Cricetulus griseus: one gene and its partners. The protein of the gene in region 1 interacts with the protein of each later gene in a pairwise test. Links are inferred from orthologs where the notes say so. Each region holds a gene or a part of one and is shown in the gene's direction. Other genes may lie near its edges.

Evidence for each region.
Region 2: the proteins of Alas1 (region 1) and Tmsb10 interact in binary tests that used the Homo sapiens proteins (3 or more experiments, as listed by UniProt). The two-hybrid records come from large-scale screens. The link is inferred for Cricetulus griseus from reciprocal best matches to the Homo sapiens genes ALAS1 and TMSB10.
Region 3: the proteins of Alas1 (region 1) and Dusp19 interact in a two-hybrid assay, tested with the Homo sapiens proteins (3 studies listed by BioGRID and IntAct). The two-hybrid records come from large-scale screens. The link is inferred for Cricetulus griseus from reciprocal best matches to the Homo sapiens genes ALAS1 and DUSP19.
Region 4: the proteins of Alas1 (region 1) and Poldip2 interact in binary tests that used the Homo sapiens proteins (3 or more experiments, as listed by UniProt). The two-hybrid records come from large-scale screens. The link is inferred for Cricetulus griseus from reciprocal best matches to the Homo sapiens genes ALAS1 and POLDIP2.
Region 5: the proteins of Alas1 (region 1) and Cdc73 interact in a two-hybrid assay, tested with the Homo sapiens proteins (3 studies listed by BioGRID and IntAct). The two-hybrid records come from large-scale screens. The link is inferred for Cricetulus griseus from reciprocal best matches to the Homo sapiens genes ALAS1 and CDC73.
Region 6: the proteins of Alas1 (region 1) and Zmat1 interact in a two-hybrid assay, tested with the Homo sapiens proteins (2 studies listed by BioGRID). The two-hybrid records come from large-scale screens. The link is inferred for Cricetulus griseus from reciprocal best matches to the Homo sapiens genes ALAS1 and ZMAT1.
Region 7: the proteins of Alas1 (region 1) and Ppl interact in binary tests that used the Homo sapiens proteins (3 or more experiments, as listed by UniProt). The two-hybrid records come from large-scale screens. The link is inferred for Cricetulus griseus from reciprocal best matches to the Homo sapiens genes ALAS1 and PPL.

Annotation. Positions count from the first base shown.
Region 1 is NC_048597.1:214,445,898-214,449,921, reverse strand, and holds the start of Alas1 (5-aminolevulinate synthase, nonspecific, mitochondrial), read left to right. Parts: upstream 1-1,224; 5' UTR 1,225-1,270; coding exon 1,271-1,469; intron 1,470-3,872; coding exon 3,873-4,024.
Region 2 is NC_048601.1:64,695,442-64,698,319, reverse strand, and holds Tmsb10 (thymosin beta-10), read left to right. Parts: upstream 1-1,271; 5' UTR 1,272-1,405; intron 1,406-1,679; 5' UTR 1,680-1,691; coding exon 1,692-1,791; intron 1,792-2,073; coding exon 2,074-2,108; 3' UTR 2,109-2,378; downstream 2,379-2,878. UniProt on the Homo sapiens protein: Plays an important role in the organization of the cytoskeleton. Binds to and sequesters actin monomers (G actin) and therefore inhibits actin polymerization.
Region 3 is NC_048599.1:94,487,311-94,491,303, reverse strand, and holds the start of Dusp19 (dual specificity protein phosphatase 19), read left to right. Parts: upstream 1-1,193; 5' UTR 1,194-1,321; coding exon 1,322-1,544; intron 1,545-3,993.
Region 4 is NC_048600.1:91,900,370-91,904,456, forward strand, and holds the start of Poldip2 (polymerase delta-interacting protein 2), read left to right. Parts: upstream 1-1,287; 5' UTR 1,288-1,346; coding exon 1,347-1,507; intron 1,508-2,084; exon of another isoform or gene 2,085-2,214; intron 2,215-3,137; coding exon 3,138-3,219; intron 3,220-4,087. Other genes in the region: Tmem199 (transmembrane protein 199), read right to left, coding at 925-1,135. UniProt on the Homo sapiens protein: Involved in DNA damage tolerance by regulating translesion synthesis (TLS) of templates carrying DNA damage lesions such as 8oxoG and abasic sites.
Region 5 is NC_048598.1:46,750,515-46,754,014, forward strand, and holds part of Cdc73 (parafibromin), read left to right. Parts: intron 1-22; coding exon 23-121; intron 122-2,468; coding exon 2,469-2,547; intron 2,548-3,500.
Region 6 is NC_048604.1:45,073,013-45,076,512, forward strand, and holds part of Zmat1 (zinc finger matrin-type protein 1), read left to right. Parts: intron 1-781; coding exon 782-888; intron 889-2,045; coding exon 2,046-2,147; intron 2,148-2,230; coding exon 2,231-2,405; intron 2,406-3,500.
Region 7 is NC_048600.1:41,606,355-41,609,854, forward strand, and holds part of Ppl (periplakin), read left to right. Parts: intron 1-619; coding exon 620-770; intron 771-1,786; coding exon 1,787-1,870; intron 1,871-2,567; coding exon 2,568-2,684; intron 2,685-3,182; coding exon 3,183-3,275; intron 3,276-3,500. UniProt on the Homo sapiens protein: Component of the cornified envelope of keratinocytes. May link the cornified envelope to desmosomes and intermediate filaments. May act as a localization signal in PKB/AKT-mediated signaling.

The DNA of each region.
Region 1 (4,024 bases):
CCTAGGTTCAATCCTAAATGCTATATACTCCAGGCCAGTAGAAAAGCCCTGTCATTGCCATAAACAAAACTAAGCGCCTAGTTGATCAGCTTTTTCAGACCCATAACCCCTTCCTCTAAATCCCAGAAACCCTTTCACTATCAGGTAGCTTCCTGAGTGGCTGGTTTACGCCCTACTCGGGGGCGCAGGAGTCTGACGCACAGAGCTATTCGTGGAAGGTGACAGAGGGCGAAGGATGGGGTCCAAAAAGGGGCTTGCCCGCCCACTGCCTTGCCCTCTTGATCCTGGAAGCCTAGGCCCAAGTCACACTCGCCCAGCTGGAGCAGTGCCCTGTCGGAGACACTTGCTGCCCTGCCCTGCCGACTCCGGCGCGCGTGCGCAGGTCAGGCCGCGCCCTCGGCGCATGCGCAGCGGTCACTCCGGCTCTATATTAGGGCCACAGCAGTTCGTTGCATTCCCGAAGCTGCTATAGTGGGCCGGCGCGCCCCGCCACCGCGGCCACACGCCCCATCCCCCTCCGGCCCCCACCCAGGCTCAGCGTCCCCCACCACCACCCTCCCTCTACCTCTTAGGCTACCTCAGAGGCCCCGTTCCGTCCCCTCCTGACATTCGGCCTTTGAAAGGCGGCTTCATAATCTCCTTCCTACCCTTGCCATTCTCGAGCTTGCGACCCCGGGCAACCTCTGACTCACCGCTGACCCCCTTCCGCCAGCCCGACTCTCTGGGCTGGCTGGCCTTGCTCCTGCCCGAGTCAGCCCTGACCCTACCTACCCTCCTCTCTGCCTCCTTTCCCGGATCCAGCTCTAGGGGGCATGACCTTGTCTCGTGAACTCAGGGCTGGTCTAGACTCTTCCCCGTTCCCCCGGGTTGCTAGGATTCCCCAGGAGCCCTCCCTACATGGTGACAGTGACATCTTCCCTAGCCCCACTGTTGCCCCTGGAATATGTGCTGAGGTGTCTTACCAACACTGCACACCCTTCCAGGAGCCTCTGGCCTCCCACACCTATTCTGCTTTGTCCTCCATCTCTTTCACCCCCTTGGTTGTATTAATCGTCCCTATTTACTCCAGTGAAGATGCGTTGAGGGGTGGGCGTGGGGGTGGGGGCCTTTTATGTCGAGGTGGAGAATGAAGTTGGTGACTCCTTTACTGAGTCCCATGTCGGTGCTGTCCTTAGTTTTGTTTGTTTTTGTTTTGAGTGAGACGTGTATCTGGGGCACGCTTGACATCACTCACCATGGATTCTTCACAGGAACCAGCACCTTTGCAGACATGGAGACTGTGGTTCGACGATGCCCATTCTTATCTCGAGTCCCTCAGGCCTTTCTGCAGAAGGCAGGAAAATCTCTCTTGTTCTATGCTCAGAACTGCCCCAAGATGATGGAAGTTGGGGCCAAGCCAGCCCCTCGAACCCTGTCCACTTCAGCAGCACACTGCCAGCAGATCAGAGAAACCCCTCCAGCCAATGAGAGTAAGTAGGGCTAGCAGTAAGGAACACCTCCTGGGTGGTAAGGGCCACTCTGAGAGGGGGATCAACATTGTCTATGGGAGGGGGTCATCTTGTGTAACTGTCCCTCTGACTCCTGGATTAGGAGCTTTTCATGCTCCTGAATTTAAAAGTGAAATAAGACAGGCTTCTGGATTACATGTCAGGTCTGCTGGGTTCTAGTGTTTCCTCATTGTCTGGTAGGAGCAGTCACTTGCAACCTTTTCCTCAATAAAGATTTGGCCTTTGACTCATAAAGTAGCGATTTTAAAATCTGTTTAGTATTTTGAGTCAATGTCTCACTTTGTATCATATGCAAGCCTGGAACTCACTGTGTAGCCTGGGCTGGCTACAAGGACATGACCCCCGCCTCTGCCTCTCCAGTGCTGACGCCACAGACCTGAGCTACCACTGCCAGGTTTTGTTTTTATTTTTTAAAAGATATATTGATTTTACTTTATGTGTATGAGTGTTGGGCCGCACCACATGTATGCCTGGTGCCCAAGAAGGCTAGAAGAGGAGGTCAGATCCCCTGGAGAGCTACAGATGGTTGTGAGCCACCATAGCAGCGCTGAAAATTGAACCTGAGTTCTCTGGAAGAGCAACAAGTGCTCTAACCACTGAGCCATCCTTTTGTTTTATTTTGTGTTTTTCCCTTTAAGCAAAAAAACAAAAAAAATATTTTGTTAAAATGCAATAATATAAAATTTACCATTTTAGTTTTATTTATTTATTTATTTATTTATTTTGGTTTTTCGAGACAGGGTTTCTCTGTGAGCTTTGGAGCCTATCCTGGCACTCGCTCTGGATACCAGGCTGGCCTCGAACTCACAGAGATCTGCCTGCCTCTGCCTCCCAAGTGCTGGGATTAGAGGTGTGCGCCACCAACGCCCAGCTGCTTTTTATTTTTTTCTATCAGAGTCTCATAATATAGCCCAAATTGCCCTCCAACTTGTGGCAATCCTCCTGCCTCAGCCTGTTACATGGTAGAATTATAAGCATGCACTACTACAGTGTCTGTTCTATCATTTAAGTGTGTGATTCAGTAGATTACATGCATTCATGTTGTTCTACCACCGTGCCATTCCAGAACTTTCTTCAGCTTCCCAAACTAAAAGCTCCCATACTCCTTGCTCCAGTTCCTGGCAACCACCAACTCTCCTGTCTGTCAGCTTCACTGCTCTAGGTGTGTTAGTGATTGTCAGTGCATGCATCTGACACCGACAGAGAAGTTTTAGTGAATAGACCCAAATGGTCTCAGTAAGGTTCTGCCAGGAGAGGGGCTTTGCAGTGAATGTTTCACCTTCCAGGCTTCTCCTCAGTGTGTACCTGTAGGAAAGGAGCATTTGTTCTGTAAGTGGGCAGGACTTAGATCTTTAGGGGACTTCCTGTCCGGAGTCAGTTATCTTTTCTCAGAATGTCTGTAGTGGCCATGTATTGAGTTAGAATCATTTTCCCTTCTGTTGTCTAGACTTTCCATAACAGAACTGCATTGCTTGTAAAATTAAGTTAATTTCAAAATAACATTTCTTGACTTCCCTTTATAGAAAATGTTATGGAAACTGTATTGAGACACCTTACCCAAGTGGTAGAAAGAGCAGCCAGTGACTCATGGGAGTATTCCAAAATCTGCAGGAAGACTTTTCTAGAAGGAAGGTGAGCGCATTGCTCAAGGGATCGAGGAGTGACTGTAACTTAGAGCACAAAACCAGCTAGTTATGTTACATCAGCAGCTCTCTTTGGTGAACTTAAACAAGAAAGTAGGTGAGCTGTGTGACTGTAACCTGGGTCTTTCCAGGCATCCTGATAATTTGAACCCAGAGAGGACAACATGAAGATCTAAGTGATAGCCCACTTTTTTTTCCTGAAGTATTTTTAAAACTGGTTAAGCTTTATTAGGAATCTTCTTAGAAAACCGAAGAGAGAATAACTGGGACGGCTTCCAATTACCTTAGAGAGCATCTCCGTCCTGAAATAAGCTGAGTGTGCATGGGGCAGGAGAACCAAGTCAAGAGCTTTGGGGCTAAGTGCACACAAAATCCTAGCACTTAGAGGCTGAGGCAGGAGGATTGCCAAGTCAAGCATCATGGGCTGCATAGCAAGACCCTGTCTTAAACAAATGAAAAAAGAATGTTGTGTTGTCTGAAAGTATAAAATAGTGATCTTGGGTTTCTAAGGAGAACACATGTGAGTTTGAAAGGTGACTGGGATGGGCCAAAAAACCCTTCAAAGAACCGCTGTGAGACAGGTGAGAACGGATATTAGCAGAGTTTAACAAAGGTTATAGACTAGAACGAGCATGAAGTTTGAGGTGATAAGGCTCAGTGACTTGCTTGTGCACTCCGGCAAGCAGGTCTGATGTCTCATTCTTTCCATTTCCTTCCTCAGAAGAAAAGGCTGCCAAAGCTGCAGTCCAGCAGGCTCCTGACGAATCCCAGCAGACTCCAGATGGCACACAGCTCCCGGCTGGACACCCGTCACCCACTGCAAGCCAGGGCTCTGGGAGCAAGTGCCCTTTCCTGGCTGCACAGCTGAGCCAG
Region 2 (2,878 bases), on another chromosome or scaffold:
ATGTGGTGGACAGCACAGAGCCAGGCATGGCAGCACAGGCTTTTAGCCCCAAGATTCAAGAGACAGGCTAATCTCTCTCTGTGAGTTCAAAGCCAGGCTGGTCTACATAGTAAGTTGCAGGTCAGTCAGGGCTACACAGTGAAGCCCTGTCTAAAAGAAATAATAATTAAAACAAAAGAAATTAGCACAGATCTTGTTGCATCAGTAAAAAATAAACTTTCTTTAAAAGATTTATTTTATGTCATGCGCATGAGTGTCTGCATGTGTATACATATGTGTGTACCCCACATACATACGTGGTGCCCAAGGAGGCCAGCAGAGGATGTGGGATCCCCTAAAACTGGAGCTACGGAAGTCTGTGAGCCACCGTGTGGGTGAGCCAACTCTCCAGGCCTCCAAATAAACTTTTATCACCTCAAGCCCTCTACCAAAGTTTTTTTTTTTTTTTTGGTGGTTGTCTATATGGACTGCCATTCGAGAAATAGTTCCCCTCTTCCTCTCCTGTCAGTGGAATATGCTCCACTACTCGACACTGGAATGGGGAATGGATGGTGAGTTTCACCCCTAGCTGAATATAATAAAACTTATTATCTAAGGGGGTTGCACAAGCTGAAGAGGTAAACTTTTCCAGGAATTCATATTCCACTCCCGAAATGGGTTAATAAGAAAAGCAAGATTTGCAGGCACACTGGCTTTTTCTTTTTCTTTTTAAAATCACATTCAAGGTTAACTGAAGGAGGAAAACCACACCCTCTGGTACAGTGTTCCTAAGAGACCTCTCACTGAGAGAAGGAACAGTGGAGCCCTCCCAGGACTCTCCAAGCTCCCACCTCCACCCTTAGACAATGCCCGAAACAGTGTGTTTTAAGAAGCACAAGAAAGGAAAGGAGGAGACTCTAGAGAGGCAAACACCAGAGACTTAGGGCGAGGCAAGCTGGGTGTCTCCCGCGAGCAGGGCTGCAGTAGAGCGCGCGTGCTCGCCCGCCCGCACACCCACAACCCCACACTACACATACACGCAGCAAAACCTCAGTCCTTCCCCGCTGCCACCCACGCCCTTCCCACGAGGTGAGCAGCAGGCTCCTGGGTACTGGGAGAAGGAGATGCAGCAGGGAAAGAGCCCGCAGAGAGCTTGTGTCTGCCACCCCACCGCGGGACCGCAACGGGCAAACCTCGCGGGCCGAGAAGGGCGGAGCCCGGGACTGCCTGGAGATGCTGAGCCCCCGACCCAACGCGCGCGCTGACCACGCCCCCCCACGGGCTGACCACGCCCCCGCTGCGGCGGGCGAGAGGCGGGGCGGGGCGCGGTGTATATAAGGCGAGGGGCGGGCGCCGCTCTTTTGTCTCTTGCTGCAGCAAGGCGAGTGGGAGCACCTGGAGCGCGAGCTCGGAACGAGACTCCACGGTGAGACACATCGCTGGGCTTAGGGCCTACCCTGGGTGGGGTCGGGGCAGCTTGTGGCTGGCGGGAGCGTTCCCCCTGGGTTGCAACAGGCGACCCGGCGGTTTGGAACATTCCGAGGCTGGCAGGCCACGCCCTGGGATTTAGGAGGGAGGGTGTGGTGGACGAGCCCGGGATCCTCGGCCTCCGGGCCGGGAATGCCACGTCGAGAGGTGTTCGCGGAGGGCGCAGGATCCAGGGATCGCTGGTCATCCCCAAGCCTTGGTTCGCCCATCAGGGTTCTAAGAAAATGGCAGACAAGCCGGACATGGGGGAAATCGCCAGCTTCGATAAGGCCAAGCTGAAGAAGACCGAGACGCAGGAGAAGAACACCCTGCCGACCAAAGAGAGTGAGTTCGCCCCCGCCTCCGGGTTCCCACCCCAGCACTCCACCCTTCCCTGCTGTGCCAGCCCGGCACCCCCCACCCCCATCCGGCCACTACCTCCCACCCCGAATCTGAGCGGCCACAGCCACCCTTCCAGTTACACAAAGCACTTTGTCCCTTCCAAATCCCCTTCTTGTCCCCAGGCCTCGTGGGTGCCTCACCCACGCCAGGTTTGTGAGGTGGGGGGTGGGTGGGCTGCAAGGTGGCTCGCTCCATCCTGCAATGCCCACATCCCGCCCTTCGCAGCCATTGAACAGGAAAAGAGGAGTGAAATTTCCTAAAAGCCTAGACTGGAGGATTTCTCCACCCTACCCCACCCCGTCATCTCCGAGACCCCCTCGTGATGTGGAGGAAGAGCCACCTGCAAGATGGACGCGAGCCACAAGCTGCACTGTGAACCCGGGCATTCCGCGCCGATGCCACCGGCCCGTGGGTCTCTGAAGGGGGACCCCCCCACTAATCGGACTGCCAAATTTTACCGGTTTGCCCTGGGATATTATAGAAAATTATTTGTATGATTGATGAAAATAAAACACACCTCGTGGCATGGCTGGCGTGGTCTGAATCTTTTAGTTGAGTATGCGTGGGCAGAGCTGCACTGGGAGTGAGTTGTGCCGCAGAGACGGGTGCGCGGCGGCGGGCGGGGGGGGGGATCACTTTTATTTTGGTTTTACGTGCTTTACCCTAAGGTTTCCTGGGTTCTCAGCCATTCGGCTCTCAATGCAAATTGAGTAAAATTTAACTCCATTTTGAAACATGCTGCCCAAAAGATTAAGATGGACTTCTGATCAGCTCTTCAAATGCCGCCCTGTAACCTCTCACGCATACCAGAAGCAGTGATTTAAAGTCTGAGAGGAAAGGGGACAAATAATCACTCTGGAATGTTGGAATTGGCGAGGGTCGGGGTCGGTCCCTCACAAACACACAAGGTTCTCCTCTACATGTTACAGAATGAGATGAAATAAAAAAAAAAAAAAAAACAAAGGCCGGATTTAGTGAAACAACTGTTTTATCAGAGCTTGCAGAACGGACATCAGAACTACACAACCAC
Region 3 (3,993 bases), on another chromosome or scaffold:
GCCGTTAACAAGAAGTATAAACTGTATAGCGTAAGCATGAGAAAAGTAATTATTGTGGTTTGGAGGTCAAGAAATATAAAATCAAGGTGCTGGCCTACACAAGGTTTCTGGTGTGTTCCCACTCTGGGCTTGAGGACATCCACTACTCCCAATTTCCTTTATTCTCCTTTATCTGGTACAGGGTAAGGGAAGGAAGAGTTCTTTTCCCTTTTCATGAAGCCATTAAACATGTCATATGTTTTAATATAAGACTATTTATCCTTCCAGAAGTCCTATCTCCAAATATCAAGACACTTGAGCCTATAATTTCAACTCATTTTGAAAGGACATAAAAATTCAGCCCATAAACTAACTTTAATGTCAGAAAGTTTCAAATGTTTGTATGTAATGCTGGTGAATACATTTTTTGAAGTCTTAACATTATACATCACATTCAAATTACCTTAAAAAATGCCTTTTAGTAAGGGTTAGTAGGAAAATTTCAGTTGAAGAAATCTTGTAGTTTCATTTTACGAAACAAATCATCCTTTGCGGGCAAAAGCATCATTCTACTCATTCGTTTGGTATATTTAGGTTTGTATACTTGATTTTTCTCAACTATGTCTCCAATTGCGGCCATGCTTTCAGTATTTAAGGCGTGCAAAATCCGAATACACAAATTTTAAGCCTTGCTAATCTACAGGAACATATTTAAAACGACCTTTTATTTACATTGCATTTCAGTTGGAGCCACACTAATATATTCAGTGGTTTTATCTAGTTAATGTTTCTCCCGGGGGCAACAGCAGAAATAAAAAAATAAAAAATAAAAAAAAGGAAGACAAAAGAGGAGCAGGCCCTGGAAGCCACTGTAGCCCCTTTAGGCTAGGCCCAGTGAGCCACAAGAGGATCCGGGCAGGGTGGAAGAGTCGATGGTTCAGCAGCAGTCTCCACCGTCACCATCGTAAGTAGTCGAACATTCCCAGAAAGCACTACCCTTGGAGAGCCAGGAGGTACCAACTCTCTTCAGGTGAGTCTTAGAAATGACCATCCCGTGTCCAAGATAATGCAGGGATCAAACACTAAAGACAAGCCCCGACAGAGCTGCGTCTGAATGGACCCGGAAGGCACAGAACTTCGTCAACAAATGAGAAGCGGCATTCAATCGGTCCCTGTTTCTTAGCAGCCAATGAGATCTCTTCTTAGAACGGTGCTGGGGACAGCAGGGCTGAGCTGCTCTCTGTCAGAGGTGCGGTTGTCACCTCCGCGGCCAGCTACTGTAAGTGACTGGTAGTGAGTGCAGTTTCTTTGTGTTTGCTGCTTTTCCTCCTCCGCTCATGTAATGCACTCCCTGAACCAAGAAATCAAAGCATTCTCCCGGAATAATCTCAGGAAGCAGTGCACCAGGGTGACCACGCTAACTGGAAAGAAAATTATAGAAAGCTGGAAAGATGCCACAGTTCATGTTGTGGAAGCAGAGCCCAGCGGTGGGGGTGGTTGTGGCTATGTGCAGGACCTTAGCTTGGACCTGCAAGTTGGCGTTATTAAGCCCTGGTTGCTTCTGGGTGAGTAGACTGACTTGCCACTGGATTCCTTTGCCATTAGCCTCCTCTATGCATAATAACCCACTGTACACAATCATTGTCAGCTATCCTGATGAAAAGTTGAAATGTCTACTTTTTAAGGTGAGGAACAAAATAGGGACGTTTCTGTCACCACGACAATTATCACTTTGACACCTGATTATAGAATTTTAGAAGAAATTTTTCTTTCCCTTATTTGTCTAAGTTTCTCTGGAGGAAAACGGGGTGTTATGTTTTCTTGTTTTATAAAAAGACTACGTTCTTTAAAAAATGCACAAAAAAGCAAGTGCTTCCTTGGCGATTGAAAGCGTGCTTCTTACATTGCTCATAATGTCTGTCTTTGGTGTGTTGAGAACAAGGCTTCTATTTTACAGTCTGATAGCCTCATATCTTGTAATACGGAAGTACTGAAGTTGTATGCAAGCACCATCCACAAATAGCAAATGAAGAAAGCATGTAAGAGAACTCACTTGTTATCTTGTTGATCTGGTATGGTATTCTTTAGAAAGCAGCTTAGCCCATAGGTCTGCATTACTTTACATTTATGAATGAGAAATTAACATTTGGTCACCGAACCAGGTGTTACATATACCCACAATTCTTTTAAAGGTCTCAAAGTAGGGTTTGTCTTCACGGTATAAACAGGGACTGGGCTTTAATATTGGGTAAGTAATTTGCACAGGTAACAGATTCAGTAAATAGCAGAGTTGGGCAACAAGTCCAAGTCTGACTGGCTGGTACTCTCTGTCGTTACACTATGTTGTTTGCAGTTAGACTTACGTTAGGTGGTACAATTCTTTTGTTCTCCCTAGACCTCCAAAAACCATCTGCTCAAAATATTTTTTAGTTTATTTTATGTGCATGTATTGTGTGTATGTATACATGTCCACCATGTGCATGGTAGTCTCAGAGATCACAAGAGGTTATCAGATTCCCACAAACTGGAGTTATAGATGGTTGTGAGTTGCCTTGTGGGTGCTAGGACTCAAACGCAGGTCCTTTGCAAGAGCAACAAGTGCTCTCATCCATTGATCCATCTACTTTAATTGAAGAAACACCATATAAAGTTGTTCTGACAGTGTGAATGTTTCTTGACAAAACTCAGTGTAAATTATTGTTATATCATGTATCTTAAGAATTGTCAAACACACTGTCTTTAAATTGACTGAATGGATAAAGCCAGATAGTTTTTGCAACTCAGAGAACAATATTATGTTATCTTCTCACCAAATGAACAGCAAAAACTTAAGTGAATTATTTGGCTGAGGGGGACAGTTCAGATCTTGTTCACTGTATGATAATGTGCAGATGAGTGCTTTTCAGTTATTTGACCTCCTGATGCTTTTTCTGACCTCCACAGTCACTCAGGCACTCTATCTTTGTCTATCCTTTGTCTCTGTCTCTTCCTCTCCCCTTCTTGCCCACTCTGTCTCTTACACACAATAAATAGAAAAAAATGTAAATGGATAAATAAGTAAATACATTAAGTTAGCTGCAATGATAGCTCTTCCAGAAGCCAAGGCAGGATGATAACTAGTTCAAAGCCTACCTGGGCTACAGAGTGAGGGCAGCTTGAGCACCATAGTGAGATTTGGCAATAGAGTACTTGCCTCAACACCACAAACACACAGTGTTTATGTCAATGCTGTTATAATTTGGAAGTCACTTAGAATATACATGAACTGTTTCTGAAACAGAATTAACCTGACCTGTCTGTTTCAGGTTTGGAAGGGGGAGGAGGAAGGGAGGGAGGAAGGAAGGGTTGGGGGAGAGGGAGAGTATGAAGGAGAGAGAGAGTGTCTGTCTGTTTACCAAAGCAGTCAGTGAGCAGTGAAAAGGGAAAGAATTTCATTTAAGCCATGTTGCAGTTTTTACTATTTTAAAATACAAGCAGAACAGAACAAGATAATTAGTTAAAAGATGGTATGTTCACTAAACTATTAAATTAAAAGGAATTTATCTGAACATTTTCCCCAATCCCAACATGGTTAAGACTTCCTATAGTTAAAAACTGAGAATTATGTTTTAGTTGTGAAGTATTTAAAACTGGCATAAAATTACAGAAAGATGAGAGAACAGACAATTTCTGAACCCACCATTTCTATTTACTAAATGCCCATATTTTGGAAGTCCAGTTTCCAAGTAGGAAGCAGAATGTGTGTTTAGTAAGGAACCTCTCAGCTTGGACCCACTGTGTACTTGTGGCCCCTCGGCTACCTGAAATCATGTGAGGGAAGCTGGCTGAGTCCTCAGATATGGATGGGGAGGGGGAAAGCATGGTTTATGGAAATGGAACCACAGGAAAGTAAAATTCTTGAAATCCTTCATTGTAAATGTCCCATTTGATCATTTGTGAAACCTGCTCTGTGCTAACTGACCATTCTCAGATAAGAATTTGCTTATAAACATCTCCCAGTGTGGGAGAGTAGAG
Region 4 (4,087 bases), on another chromosome or scaffold:
TGTGCCATGACCAGCCTTGTCATCATTTTCTATCTCTTTTTATTCATTCATTTTTCTTTTTACTCAAGATTATTTTTCAACCAAGAAATATTTAGGACAATTCCACCTAAGTATTTCCTAGTACTACACAGTTGACTTTAACTGTCAGTCTTCAATTATCCTGCCAATGGGAGGTTATTTCTGTGAAAATAATAGATCTGTCCTAGATAGAATTGGGTCGTTGTGATGCTAAACACTCAGAGGGCATTGTATTGGAGGATCTTTTTCTAAGGTTCTCTTAAAGTCCTAATAGTTGAAGGTCTACTCTTTGCACTTCTGGCTGGAATATTAATTCTGGCAATACATGTTACATGCCAGTTTACCCTACTCCCTCCCTTAACAGATAAGGAAATAGGTTCAAAGAAAGAGGAGAAATTCTTTGAAAGGACTAGAACTAGATGAGACTCTCAGTTCAGAACTTTCAATACAGTTGCTTTTATTTCTTTCCTTTTTGTTATTATATTTCCCTACCCTCACCCCAACAGGGTCTGGGGCGGGGATCAGAAATCTCCACCCTTGCCTTTGAGATGTAAGGAAAGTAACTATTCCAAAACAGAAGCTCACTACGTTAAATGACCTCAAAATGGAGAAGCTCAACATGGTAGAAAATATTGCGCTAGAATCCCGAATTCCTTAAAAGTCAGGTGGACTTAGGTAGACCTAAAAGTGGACACTCAACAAAATCTGCACAAATACGTTTTGTCACACATGAAGAATGCCCACGGAACTTAAGATGGAAGTGGTGAACCCGGGGCTTATGAGGAGGGTTCTGGACTGGCTAAATGAGAACTTGGCAGGCACGCGAGAGTGACAGGCGAAAAAAAAGGCCTCAGAAGGGATTAGCGGTGAAAATGAGGCTGCGACTCTTGACTGGGGAACGCTCACTTCTTTCTCTCAGGTGCTGATGCAGTTCTCGGATCAGACGGAAGGGAATCAGGCGAAGGGGGCCCGTGGCGTTATCTCTGCTCGTGTGTTTCTTCCCCAGAGCAGCCTCGAGCTGGGCACGCAGCTTCCGGGGCAGCTGCTCCCGTTCCAGTTCTCCGCCAGGGCCCAAAGCGCGAACCAGTCGCTCACCACCAAGCAAGGAAGACGCCATTTCTAACGCACGCTCCGGTCAGGTGATCCCAGAGTGGGACTTCCGCTCACCTGCGCCGGATGTAGCTGGAGGAGCCCGCGCGGACGCGGTGGGCGGGCCCGAGGGCCAGGGGGCGGGGCTTAGGCGCGGGGCAGTGTGGGGCGGGGGCGGGACGCCGCCCCGCCGCGGGTCGGGCCCTGTGTCAGCAGCCGAGCGGGCGCTCGGGCGGGACATGGCTGCCTGTGCGGCCCGACGGGCCCTGGCCGTGGGCAGCCGCTGGTGGTCACGGTCTCTGGTCACGGCCCGAGGGTTGAGGCCGCTGTGTGCGGTCGGTGGAGCAGGGACCCTTCCGCTGGTGGCCACAGCGACGACGCGAAGGCATCTATCGTCCCGGTGAGGGACGGAGCCAGGGGGCCAGGGAGCCAGGGAGCCGGGCCCAGAATTTGGGGAGCATGTTCCTAGCCACTGAGGAGACCGGGAGGCCCGACTGTTTGTGGGCAACCGGAGTGTCACCTGAGAAGTGGTCCCGAGTAGGGAGCCGACATGCGCTGCTTGGGACATGTGCCAGGAGCAGAGAAGGGAGCACGGCCCAGGGCCCTGGCAGTGCAGGGCAGCTCCGAGGGAGAACAAGTAACGCTTCTTCAGCGAATCTGCCTCCCTTGCTAGGGTCCCCAGCACCTGTAGTGGGCTGCCATTTAATACAGCTACAAGGATTTTGACTTTGATCCCCAGCCCCTCGTGGATCATGGCTTCTCTCAGAAAGATGCTATTAAGTGGAAAACAAGTCGACTTAAGTGTCTACCTTTGTGGGTCCTGGGTTTCCGTGTGACCTTGGGGAGACTGGTTTTTGCCTATGTGACTTGGGAAAGAGGGTTCCAGGCTTGGGGATGGTGTAAACAAAGTATTTTAGGGACCAGACAGGATTGATCGAGTTGGGTATGAAGTTAGAATTTCCAAAATAAAATCACAGTGCTCTGACGAGTCCATAGAAAAAGTAGTCTTATTTAAAAGGGTAATTGACAGGTGCAAAAATAAACCCTCTCTTGCAACCCAGAACTCATTGTTCAGTATGAGTTTTGATCCATACAAGTAGGAATATAAGATAGCACAAAGGGATTATGGTATGGTGAGGTTGGCTCTATCTATCCTATAATTTAAAGGCATAGGTAATAATAGTAATAGTAAAACTAATGTGATGAAAAAATAAAAAGGTAATTGATGGAACTGTGGCTGAGGGAGGTATCTGCTATTTAAGAATTAAATAATTCTGGGAGGATGGTATGTAAAGAGACTGCAGTACTAAGTGTACTTTGTGCTGATCCTTTGGGAATCTAGAGATGTTAAGTCTTCAGGTCATGGTAAAGACAGTTATAGTTTAGAGGGTAGATGGATGTGTAGAATTGGGAGAGTCATGCTATGTAGCCAGGTTGACCCAGAACTTGTGATTTTCCAGCCTCAGCCTCAAGAGTTCTGAAATTACAGACTTGTGGGAACCATGTTCAATTCAGAACAATTTTTCAAAGTAGCAGATAACAGGTTTATTAAGCATACTGCAAGGAAGCAGTGGGTAAGAGCAGAAACAGCAGAACTGCTTGCCCCAGAACAAATGCCTTTTGAGCACCTTTTACATACTAGGCATTGCTGTCAGGGAACAAATAGTCTCTCATGGACACCAGCAAAACAGGAAGGACAGTTAAAATGCTGTGGTAGTCCAGGGGGGTGGGGAAAGATGTATATTTAAAAAGGATATGCAGGCATGACCTTGGAAATGCTAAGTGAAGAAAGAAGAAAGTAAATTTGGAGTAGTTAGATCTAACACTGGGAGACTGGGAAAGTCTTCATCAAATAGAGGCCTGTGGATGGGTCTTAAGGGAAAAAAAACAGCATCCTTGGCCTTTGCTGTCATTGCCCTGGCCCCTCAGTCTGATAGGGGTTATTTATTTGTTTGTTTGTTTCTGATGGAGAAGGACTGTTACCTTCTCAGCATTTCACTTGCTTATTCTTTTTCTTCCTTCCCAACTAGAAACCGTGCAGAAGGCAAAGTGTTGGAGACAGTTGGTGTGTTTGAGGTGCCAAAACAAAATGGAAAATATGAGACTGGGCAGGTAGGTATTATGCAGGGTCAGCTCTCGCTCTCATGGGATATTCTATTTCTGAGTGGAGCCAAATTTTGTCACAATACTGAATCTCAATGGCATTTTTTTTTTCTTTTCATTCCATGTTCCCTTCCCCATAGTGCTAGAGATGGGTGCTGTATATAGCTGAGTTGCCCCCTCTCCCCCTCCCAAGCTCCCATCCATCTTCATGCTTGGTGGAAGACCAAGATCCTAAGTTTTGGTTTTGTTTTAAGGCTCATCATTCTATAACCCAGGCTGACCTTGAACTTGCAATACTGTCTTAAATTATGGAATCCTGGGGTTACAGGTGTATGAAACCATGCTCAGCTCAGAATCACAAAATTTTTAAAAAACAATGGATCCAGGTGGTGTTGGTGTACGCCTTTAATTCCAGCACTCAGGAGGCAGAGGCAGATGGATCTCTGTGAGTTCGAGGCCAGCTCCTGGTCTACAGAGTAAGTGCCAGGACAGGCTCTTACATTACATTGATTCACACACACACACACACACACACACACACACACAGAGAGAGAGAGAGAGAGAGAGAGAGAGAGAGAGAGAGAGAGAGAGAACGCACCATTGCATGGAGATCAAAGGACAGCTTGTGAAAACTGGTTCTCTCCTCCCACCATGTGAGCCTTGGATCAAGCTCTGGTCTTTATGTTTGGTGGCAAATGCCTTATCCAGTGAATCATCATTTAACTGGCCTAAAAGATATTTACATTTATTTAATGTTCATGCCTATGTGTTAGTGCATATGCATACTATGTGAGCATTAGGATCGTAAATTTTTTAAAGATGAGGTTTCTGGAGATAGGTGTACAGTAGCATCAAATCCCATTGCTCCAAAAGCAGG
Region 5 (3,500 bases), on another chromosome or scaffold:
AATTAGAATCTATTTGTTTTAGAATTTTTCCAAGAATATTTTTGCAATTCTTCAATCTGTAAAAGCCAGAGAAGAAGGGCGTGCCCCGGAACAGCGGCCTGCTCCAAATACAGCCCCTGTGGTAAGATTCTTTTCTGATTATGTTGTTGTTTTTAAGAAAGTGACATTCGTTTTGTATTTTAGTGTTTTAATTGACATCTTAAACAATTTACATCAGTAGGGTGTAAAAGTTTTGTTACTTCAGCATACTCAAAGGCTGTAAAAGACCCTTCCCACTTTTAAAAGTTATTTCAGCAATAATTTGGGTCATTCTTGAGATACACCTGGGTGAGAGTCTGAAAAGGGGTTAACTAGGAAAAGCCTTCTAAGTTAGTTAACTTTTAGGTTATCTGTAGCTGGCCTATTTATTACTTGAGAAAATTGTTAATTATTGTTTAAATATAAATCATTGTTACCTTCCAGTTTGGACTTGTTATTTGAAATCTTTTGTGACCATTTCATATTGGTATATTTATTTTCCCTTGTCACCTGCCATATGGCCCATTTATTGTACCCCAGCTTTAACTCCTCTGGTGGTTGAGCGCCTCACTGTTTAAGGTTATTACTTAGGACCCTCCAAACCCTAAATTCATGCATGCCATATAGTCTCCATTTAAATTCATAAATACCCTCTAGTTTGCTGTAAATCTTTCTACCTGTTCTCAAGATTCAAGAAAGGCAAAAAATATAATTCAGATTAATTGTGTTTTATATAGAGTTTGGAAAAACATTGGTAGAGTGCTAAACATAGCCTTGGAAGTTAATATTAATTTTATTTATGCATGAAATCATTGATATTTAATCTTTACAGATACTGAACTATTGGTAATATTTAGATACCTTTAGTTGATGTACCAAAAATAACTAGTATCTGGTTGTTCTGTAATGTTTTGAGCAACTAGAGATAAAATAATACAATGTCATAGTTATCATTTTTAGTAAGTCAGATATTAAACACATTTATAAAATTTCAAGTTTTAGTCTTACTACTTTTTTGGTGGATTTTGGAAAATAATTTTTATTAAATATGTTTACATCGAATTTTGCTTTTCTTATTTTTTTAAGGAGTCAATTCCTACTTTAAAAATTTGTCAGTTTTTATCTTTAGTGTCATAAATTGTAACTTTAGCTTAAAGATTTTTAGAGTCCTCAATAGTTATTGGTAGGAAGAATGTGAAACCTTAAGATATTTAAACCATTGTCTTTGTGAATGTGAGTATTCCTTCTGTGTATTTTATAATCATTGAAAACAGTTGCAATATTTATGTTTGGCATTTGATCATACAGATGTATATATGTAGCTAAATTCTTGATAATTTTTCTTTTGTAATATTAGAGTGTAATCCTATTGTAACAAAATGAAGAATATATAAATATAGTGATTTTCCTAGGTAACTTTAAAATGTTTTTTTAAATAACTATTTTTAGGTTATTATAGACTATAAGTTTAGTATGAAATATTTGAATTAGATTACATAATTAGAAAGTGTCTATTTTCAAATTTTTAAAACTAACATCTATTACTTTAGTCTTATAGTATACATTAATAAGTGTTTATTGAATGCCTGTTACTTTAGTCTTTTTTTTCTTATTCTTTTTTTTTTTTGTTTTTTTGAGACAGGGTTTTTCTGTGTTTCTTTGGAGCCTATCCTGAGACTTCCTCTGTAGACCAGGCTGGCCTCGAACTCAGAGAGATCCACATACATGCCTTTGCCTCCCGAGTGCTGGGATTAAAGGTGTGCACTACTAACACCCTGCTTTCTTTTTGGTTTTTTGAGACAGGGTTACTCTGTGTAGCCCTGACTGTCTTGGAGCTCTCTCTGTTCAGATTATCATTGGAGAGAGTATTATTTCACAAAGTCATTTAAGTAATTAGAACGTATTTGTTTACCATATTATTTCTGCAGTTTTGATACAGGTATACTTGAAATTGTCTTTATTCTTGGTGTAGGGATGGTCAAGTTTTTGTTTGTTTGTTTGTTTTTTGTTTTTCGTGATAGGGTTTCTCTGTGGCTTTGGAGGCTCTCCTGGAACTAGCTCATGTAGACCAGGCTGGTCTCGAACTCAGAGATCCGCCTGCCTCTGCCTCCCAAGTGCTAGGATTAAAGGCGTGCTCCACCAACACCCAGCGGGATGATCAATTTTTAGTAGCAAATAATATTCAATAGTGAATCCTAGTTATCAAATGCCAAGTAATCTTACCTTATTTTGTCTTCTGGCCTATATTGGGAATAACACTTTTTTTTTAAGATTTTATTTATTTATTATGTATACAACATTCTGCTTCCATGTATATCTGCACACACAGAAGAGGGTACCAGATCTCATAATCAGGTTGTGAGCGACCACTCCAGCCCCTGTATCAGGTTTTAAGAATGTTAAATAAGCCCTTTTTTTTTTCCTTTTTTTTTTTTTTTTTTTTTTTTCAGGATCCCACATTGCGTACGAAGCAGCCTATTCCAGCTGCCTACAACAGATATGACCAGGAAAGATTCAAAGGCAAAGAAGGTAAGTTGCTTGTTTCATATCTTCTTCTCATCCTGGTCATGCTGAGTTTGAGTGGAAGTATAGTTTGATATTTAAGAATAAAGGTTGTCAAGTAACCTATGTAGTCCAGATATAGTTCAGTCACCTGCTTCTATAATAAAAGTTTTTGTTGTTGTTGTTTAAACAGCCATATTTACTCATTTATATGTGATCTGTAGCTGTTTAACTCTGACAACTCTTGTTGAGTAGTTTTGAGAGAGGTCATATAGCCTGTAACACTTAAAAATAGTGTTTGGACTCTATAGAACAAAATTGGTTACCCTCTTGTTGGTAGCTTTGCTTCTGGATTCAGATGGCTTGTGTTTCAGTTAATTTTTGTATGGATTTTATTTTTATTTCAACTGTATTCGGTCATTACCTCACATCTCTAATTAAATGTTAATAGCACTGACAACTTGTTGCAGCCCAAAAGTGACTCAGTTTCCATCTGGAGTCTGTTCTGACTTATAAGACATTAGAGTTCAAGCTTGCTTGTTTCAGTCTCCTTGGGAGCTGTGAGAAAGTTCTGATCAAGCCTATGGAAAAGAACAAATTATCTAACTAACAAGCTTCTGATTCCAGCCAAAAGGCATATAGAAATAGGGAATGAAGCTGCTTGTTGCTAGCAGGACTCAAGTGACAGAGAGTGAACCTGGCCTCTCTTTGATTCAAGGACAGTGCAGAGAGCTGGTTAATTGACTATGCTGTTCTTTGTTCTGCTTTGCCTGTAGTCTGTATATAAACAGGATCTAAATTAAACTCTGTTTGGTGTGCTGAAAGACATGGACCGGGCAGTCCTCCCCAATCTATCCTGTGTTTCTGTCTGTTTCTTTTATATTCCTTTACTCAATCCTCACATCCCTACTTAGATTACCCAGCTGACTCGTTGGAGCAGGCTCCAACAATAACTTAATTCATAGGGTTACTTCTGGGAT
Region 6 (3,500 bases), on another chromosome or scaffold:
GGCAGAGGCAGGCGGATCTCTGTGAGTTCAAGGCCATCCTGGTCTCCAGAGCGAGTGCCAGGAATAGGCTTCAAAGCTACACAGAGAAACCCTGTTTCAAAAAACCAAAAAAAGAAAAAAGAAAGTGAGTGTTATACAAACTTGCTCATTTAAAAAGCCAAATTAGCAGCAAAGGTTTGATTATTTTAATTAATAACCTATAGATAAACCAATAAACATTGACAGAAGAATCCACTGAAGCTGTTAAGAACATTAGATGTAAATGTGGACTTAAAGTGTAGATATAAAACTATCGGGTGTGTGCTCTTTATTATGGACACAGGAACTACAGCATAAATTTCCGGATTGTAGTATATGAACATTGCTTTATATATTTGGAGGGAGACTTATGTGAAATTTATGTGAAATTTGTGTGTTTACAAATAAGTGCCCTGGTATTTTTGTAATGATGGAAGAAATTTGCCCTTGTGATTTTTAAATAACACTGGAGCCATATCTCATATAGCAGTCTTATAAACCTTAGGATTGTATTATATTTTTAGGATTGTTTTCTGTAAAGAAAAAATATCAAAACTATCTTTTTAATTCAGCCTTTCATTACTGCTTCCTTAAATCATTCTGTGAAGTTTCCTGAAGTTACTTGTGTCCATTTAACTAATGTTACTGCCTGGACATCATTAAATGGCATATTTGAGGAAAGGGCTGTTACTGCATACTCCCGAAAATTTGATTAATTCAAACTTCATTGATATGGTAGTTTTTTTCTTTACTTTATTAATAGATGCCACCTGTGATGGACAAGAAAGATCTGCATATTTTACAGATGATTTTTGTCAAGCATGTGGAGTGGTACTGCATCTTGAATCAGAAAGGATTTCACATTATGAGGTTGGTTAAATACAGTGGGAACAAAGATGAGAAAACATATTTTTAAGTGTAGCAAGTCAGCTTCATATAAGTCACCTTACTTGATTAATTTAAGAACCTGAAACGTGGTAACACTTCCATTTGACAGACAAGAATATTGGCTCAGGAAAAGAGAGTCACATACAAATTTAAGTTTATGGAGTCCAGATTAAACTCATTGGTTTTGACCACAAAGTTCCTTTTCTTCACACCATTCTGTCTCCCTTTGTATTCTCTGTTATTGTAGTAAATATAATGTAGGTATTAGCAACTTTGAGCGATGCTGTAGAACTCCTAGAGTATTCATGTATAATAAATGTAGACTATTGATTTGGCTTGTCAGCTTCCTGCCTTTGAAATTGAGAGAGTCATAAGCCTCCCACCCATCCCCAGATCCATTGACAGTTAGCAGTTGCTAGGAGAAAGGAGATCATGAGGCCTCATCACTCCCTGTGCAGCTATTGGCAATTGATGGTTGCTGGGATGGGAGAGATTTTTGGCAGTGATATAGTCCCTGATAAGGTGCTCATAATCCTGTAAATATCTTTTACTAATCTTCATGTAAGTTTTCCTTATGAAGACAATTGTGGCACATATAAAAAGACATGAAAGTAGAAGGGTTCATCAGTTGGGAAGAGGGAATTAGCAGGCACTATAGAAGAAAAGAGATAATGTAATATAATGAAAATATATACATGCATGAAAATGTCATAATGAAACCTATTATTATGTTTAACAGAAAAATACTGACTTCTAAGTTGTAGAGTCATTCATTTTAATTTGAACTGAAGTTTAGAGTGAAACTCTTTATAGTTATTGTAGTCATGGGTTGAGGATGTAGCTCAAAAGTATGTCACTTGCCTAGCCTATTCAAGGCCCTGATCTCAAAAAAAAAAAAAAAAAGGTTTACTAAGTCTGCTAAAATTGATGTCTCATGCCGAGTGGTGGTGGTGCTTTAATCCCAGAACCTGAGAGGCAAAGGCAGGTGGATCTCTGTGAGTTCAAGGCTAGCCTCTGTTACACAGAGAAATCCTGACTCAAAAAAAAAATTGATGTCTCCTGACCTCACATTCAGAAAGGTGTATATTTTAGGTGTATATTTAGTGTTAAATAAACAAAGTCACATCTTTTTTTTTCAGAGTGAAATACATGCTCAAAATGTTAAGTTCTATTTTCAAGTGCATGGGGAACAAAACGAAGTGCCTGGTACAAAAGTGAACATGCATGTTGAGAATTCTCAGGTGAGCTGTCTGTGTTGAATATTATAATTCTGATCTGTCAGTTTTTTAATCTTTCAAAAATAAAAAGATTGTGATTTTTACAGGTGTACAAGAGTGGAGAAGTCAACAGAAACAAATTCAGTGGTTTCTGCAACATGAGTTTTGACTCCTCAGCTGTTGCTCAATCTCATTATGTGGGACAGAGCCATCCACAAAATCAGAAGCAATTACTGGAAGAACATGATAGAGAATCTCCATCAGGTTGTCAACCAAAGATGGGTAAGATTCTTTTTATCTCTTTATCTCAGATACAAACTCTATCTTTTCCCCACACTGTACCATCCCTTTTGGGGAGCAGACTTTCACTACAGTTCAAACAACTTGAATGTTCTTCTGCTCAGTAAATCGCTTTCTGTGTCCTTGCCTGTGGAGATAATTGTTAACTAAATTTTAAGAAATATTATGGTCACTATTCGTTTCACTAAATCCACATAAAGCAAGTGACTGCTATATGTGATAAATAAAAACAAGCAGCTAGAGAAATAAAAACCCTTAGATATTTTTATTATACCCCCCTTGGTATAATCTTTTGATTACTACTTTCTAAAACTTCATCTCACTTCTTTATTCAGATCAGTGTCTTCACTACAGTATAGTTATATACTATACTATGTGTGCTGCATAGTATGTTTATCCCCTGGAGAAGGGGAAAGGGACAAGATCTGCCGAGCTAATTGGGAACACGGGCAGTGGGGGGTGGATCTAGGAGAAAGAGAAGGGGAGAAGAGGAGGGGAGAGGAGGACATGAGGTAACAGGAAGATTGAGTTGGGGGAAGAATAGAGGAGAGCAAGAAAAGAGATACCATGGTAGAGGGAGACATTATAGGTTTAAAGAGAAATCTGACACTAGGGAAATGTCCAGAGATCTACAAGGATGACCCCCAACTAACAATCTAAGCAATAGTGGAGAGGCCTCCTTAAATTTCCTTCCCCTGTAATGAGTTTGATGATTACCTTATATGCCATCCTGGAGCCTTCATCCAGTAGCTGATGGAAGCAGAAGCAGAGATTCACAGCTAAACACTGAGCCAAACTCCTGGAATCCAGTTGTAGAAAGGGAGGAGTGATGAGCAAAGGGGTCAAGACCAGGCTGGAGAAACCCACAGAAACAGCTGACCTGAACAAGGAGGAGCTCATAGACCCCAGACGGATAGCTGGGAAACCAGCATAGGACTGACCCAGACCCCCTGATCGTGGGTGTCAGTTAGGGGGCCTGGGCAATCTATGGGGCTTCTGGTGGTGGATCAGTATTCATCCCTAGTGTACAAATGGACTTTGGGATCCCACTCCACATAGAGGGATACTCTCTTAGCC
Region 7 (3,500 bases), on another chromosome or scaffold:
GCTTCCTTTAGGCAGCTTGCACTGGGTTTAATGTGCCTGTCTTCTTTTCTAAGGTGGGAGCTTAGATTGTTGTTGTTTCAAGATGCTTTCCCTTTCCTCATGTAAGAATTTAACATTGTAAAGGGACTGCAATGCTGAAATTTTCATCTTGAGGGAATTGGAGGGTTTCCCAGCCGCCACTGTAGCCTCCCTTTGCTCAAGTGCCCCTGTGACCATCAGGATGCAGCTCCTAACCCTCCCATTAATAATCCATGTTTAACTGTTGCTTTCTGGGACTGTTTCAAGTTTGTCCAGTTCAGTTACAGTTGGCTTTTCTACTCTTTTAAAACTCAGTGTGGCTACGAAGATAGTTTCAGTCAGAATAGTCCTTGTCACACAAACATGAGAACTGAGTTTTATCCCCAGCATACATGTAAAGGATAGGAGGCATGATGGCATGGATTTATAATCCTAGAGCTGTGGAGGTGGAAACAGGTGGACCTCTTGGAGCTCACTGGCCAGTCAATCTGACCTATTTACCTACATACATACAAACCAAGAAAGAACACCACCCCTCAAAACAGAGAGATCAGTGAGGCTTCTGCCTGCTGTGTAGACCAGATTGTCTTTGTCCCCTCAGGGCCCAGTGCCTGCAGAGTGCCAGAGCTGCCTACAATGAGTACCGCCGCGGTTATGACCAAGTGCTCCAATTCTTGGCTAACACCCCCACCTACCAGCCCCAGGAAACAGACAGCCTCAGCCAGGTGGAGACCAAGCTGAAGAACCAGAAGGTAAGATGGCTGCTTCTACTTTGCAGTGGATGTTTGGGAAGATCAGAAATCCTCAAGCCCAGTGAGGCAAGACAAAGGACTGGGCCACAGCTTCTAGTATCACCTCACAAGTACTGCATGTCTCGCTCACCTCTTCCCTCTTGATGCCCTTCATAGGGCTCAAAGCAACAGATATTCATGTGGCTTGGCCTCATGGCACCTGACAGAACATAGGGAACCCTCTGGGGGAAGATCTCATTATCAGTGTTGGGCTTTCTGCCTTTTCAGTGCCACAAGGACCTCAGAAATCCAATGGCCACGGCTAAATGATTTAGTCAGAAAAGCACTTGCCATGCAAACATGAGGACCTGAATTTGAGACCCAGAGCCCACTTAAAAAGCCAGTCATGGCTAAGCATGTCTATAACCCTAGCACTGAGCAGGGAGGAAAGAGGGACAAATGGATCCCTGAAACTCACTGGCTTGCAAGAATAGCCAAAATGGTTGAGTTCCAGGTTTAGTGAGAGATCCTGTCTGAAAAAATAAGTAGAGCACAATAGAGGAGGACACATGATGTAGACCTCCACATGTGCACACACAGAGATAGACAGAGAGACAGAGAGAAACAGAAATCCCATGGCTGACATCCAATTTGCTGTCCTTTCCTGAGCTTCTGTTTCCTCATTCTCAAGTTCCTCAGGCTTGGCTCACAAGTCCACTGGAGGATTGCATGCTCTGTCGGAACAGTGCCTGGCATTTCAGAGCACAATAAACACCTGTTTCCTGGCATAGATATTCATTTTCATGTCTCTTGCTCCAGGCCTTGGCATTGCCCTTTGTGGTAAACAAATGTACACAAGAAAGCCATCATTACACTTGGAACTATAGCATGTTGACTTTAGGTTCTAAGGATTCAGACTTTTGATATGTGTGTGTGTGTGTGTGTGTGTGTGTGTGTGTGTGTGTGTGTGTGTATACATGCATGCCCATGCAAATGCATTGGTTCAGTTTTGGTTTCTAGTATCTTTTGTTTTACAGAACTTGCTTAATGAGATAGCCAGCAGAGAACAGGAGGTGCAGAAGGTCTATGCAGATTCCCAGCAGTACCAGCAAGCTGTGAAGGTGAGCCATGAACCCTGTTAGAGCACACAGAAGGGGCTTTTGCATTATAAGATGCAGAGAAATCTGGACAGGTTACTGGGAAAACAGGAAGTAGCCATGTATAGGTCCAGCCCTCTGGCAAAACAGTATGGCACCAGGTACCCAATATCATCACATTTATACTCTTTGAAACAGTAAACTCTTTGTAGGCATTTATACTAAAAGAAAACAAAACAACAGAACAATGTACACCAAACAAAATTATGTGGCAGCTCTGTAACAGGAAAACAAACTAGCAAAGCCTGTGCAGAAATATCTGTGGGAATGATCAAGTCTACTTGATGGGAAATGTCAAGGTCTGTGATGGAGGAAAGGAGGACAAGTTCAGGATGTAGTGTTCACTAAGGAAGTGGTATCTGGCCTCTGGGCCTGTTGGAAGGGCTTCAAGAGTCACTTGGTTTGTCTCTGCAGTAGTGGGAATTTCAGAGCATTTTTTCTTGTATGTATATCGCTGTGTGAGATAGCAACTTGTCACTGTCTTAGAAACTCTCAGAACCTCCTGGCACCCAGCTCAGGTACAGATGTGAGGAAGATGTGCAAGACTGTAAAACCAGCTCCTGGCCAAGGGCAGGTCAGAGTCCTTAGATGGAGCATAAGTCATTGCAGCTGCTCCTTTGCTGCTGTTAGCTGACTACTGCACCGTCTTTCTTTTATCCAGGACTACGAGCTTGAAGCAGAGAAGCTGAGGTCCCTGCTAGACTTGGAGAATGGACGGAACAGCCATGTGAACAAGAGAGCCAGGCTGCAGTCTCCTGCTGCCAAGGTGAAGGAAGAGGTAAGCTGTGAGTGAAGACTGCCAAAGGCTCTCTGGATGCAGTCCTCTGTGATACACATGGAAGAGGAGGAAGAACTTGTTTTGGGGCAGTGATATCAAAATGCCTAAGAGGCAGAGAGACAGAGAGACAGAAAGAAACAGAAATCCCATGGCTGACATCCAACTTGCTGTCCTTTCCTGAGCACTGTTTCCCAGTGCCAGGCACATGGGAAGCTCCCATCTTGCTCCCCTGTGTGAGTCTGTAATGCAGAACCGTACATACTCTAACACATATGAAAAGACTATTTGGAAAGATTTTTCTCAAAGGTCACGTACCAAGACTCAACCTGGGTCTTCTAAGTCTACCTCTCCACCAATGGATGGAGCTATGGGTAGGAATGGGAAAGTACCACTCCTTTCACCACTTGCCAGGCTCTTCCTAGCCTGTGCCCAAGTGCTCTGTTTTTCTTCTAGCTTGTTAGCTTACCTGCTAACTGCTCTCCTAAAATTTCTCTATAGGAAGCTGTTCTTTCTGCCAAGTTCACAGAGGTTAATGCTATCAACAGACAGAGGCTGCAGAACCTGGAGTTTGCACTGAGTCTCCTGAGACAGGTAATCCACTTTAGTTAGAACTACTTCAGATTGTCCTACAAGACAAGAAACCAAAGATTCCTCTGCCTCAGAGACACGGTTCATGAATGAAAAGTGTGTCCTCTGTTGTCATTTCTGAGAAGGACCAATTCAAATGCTAGCCTGAGCCAGCCTTCTACACTAGCATGGAATAACTTCCATACCAATTCAAAAGACATTTGCTAAGGACCTATTCAAAGTTTTTTT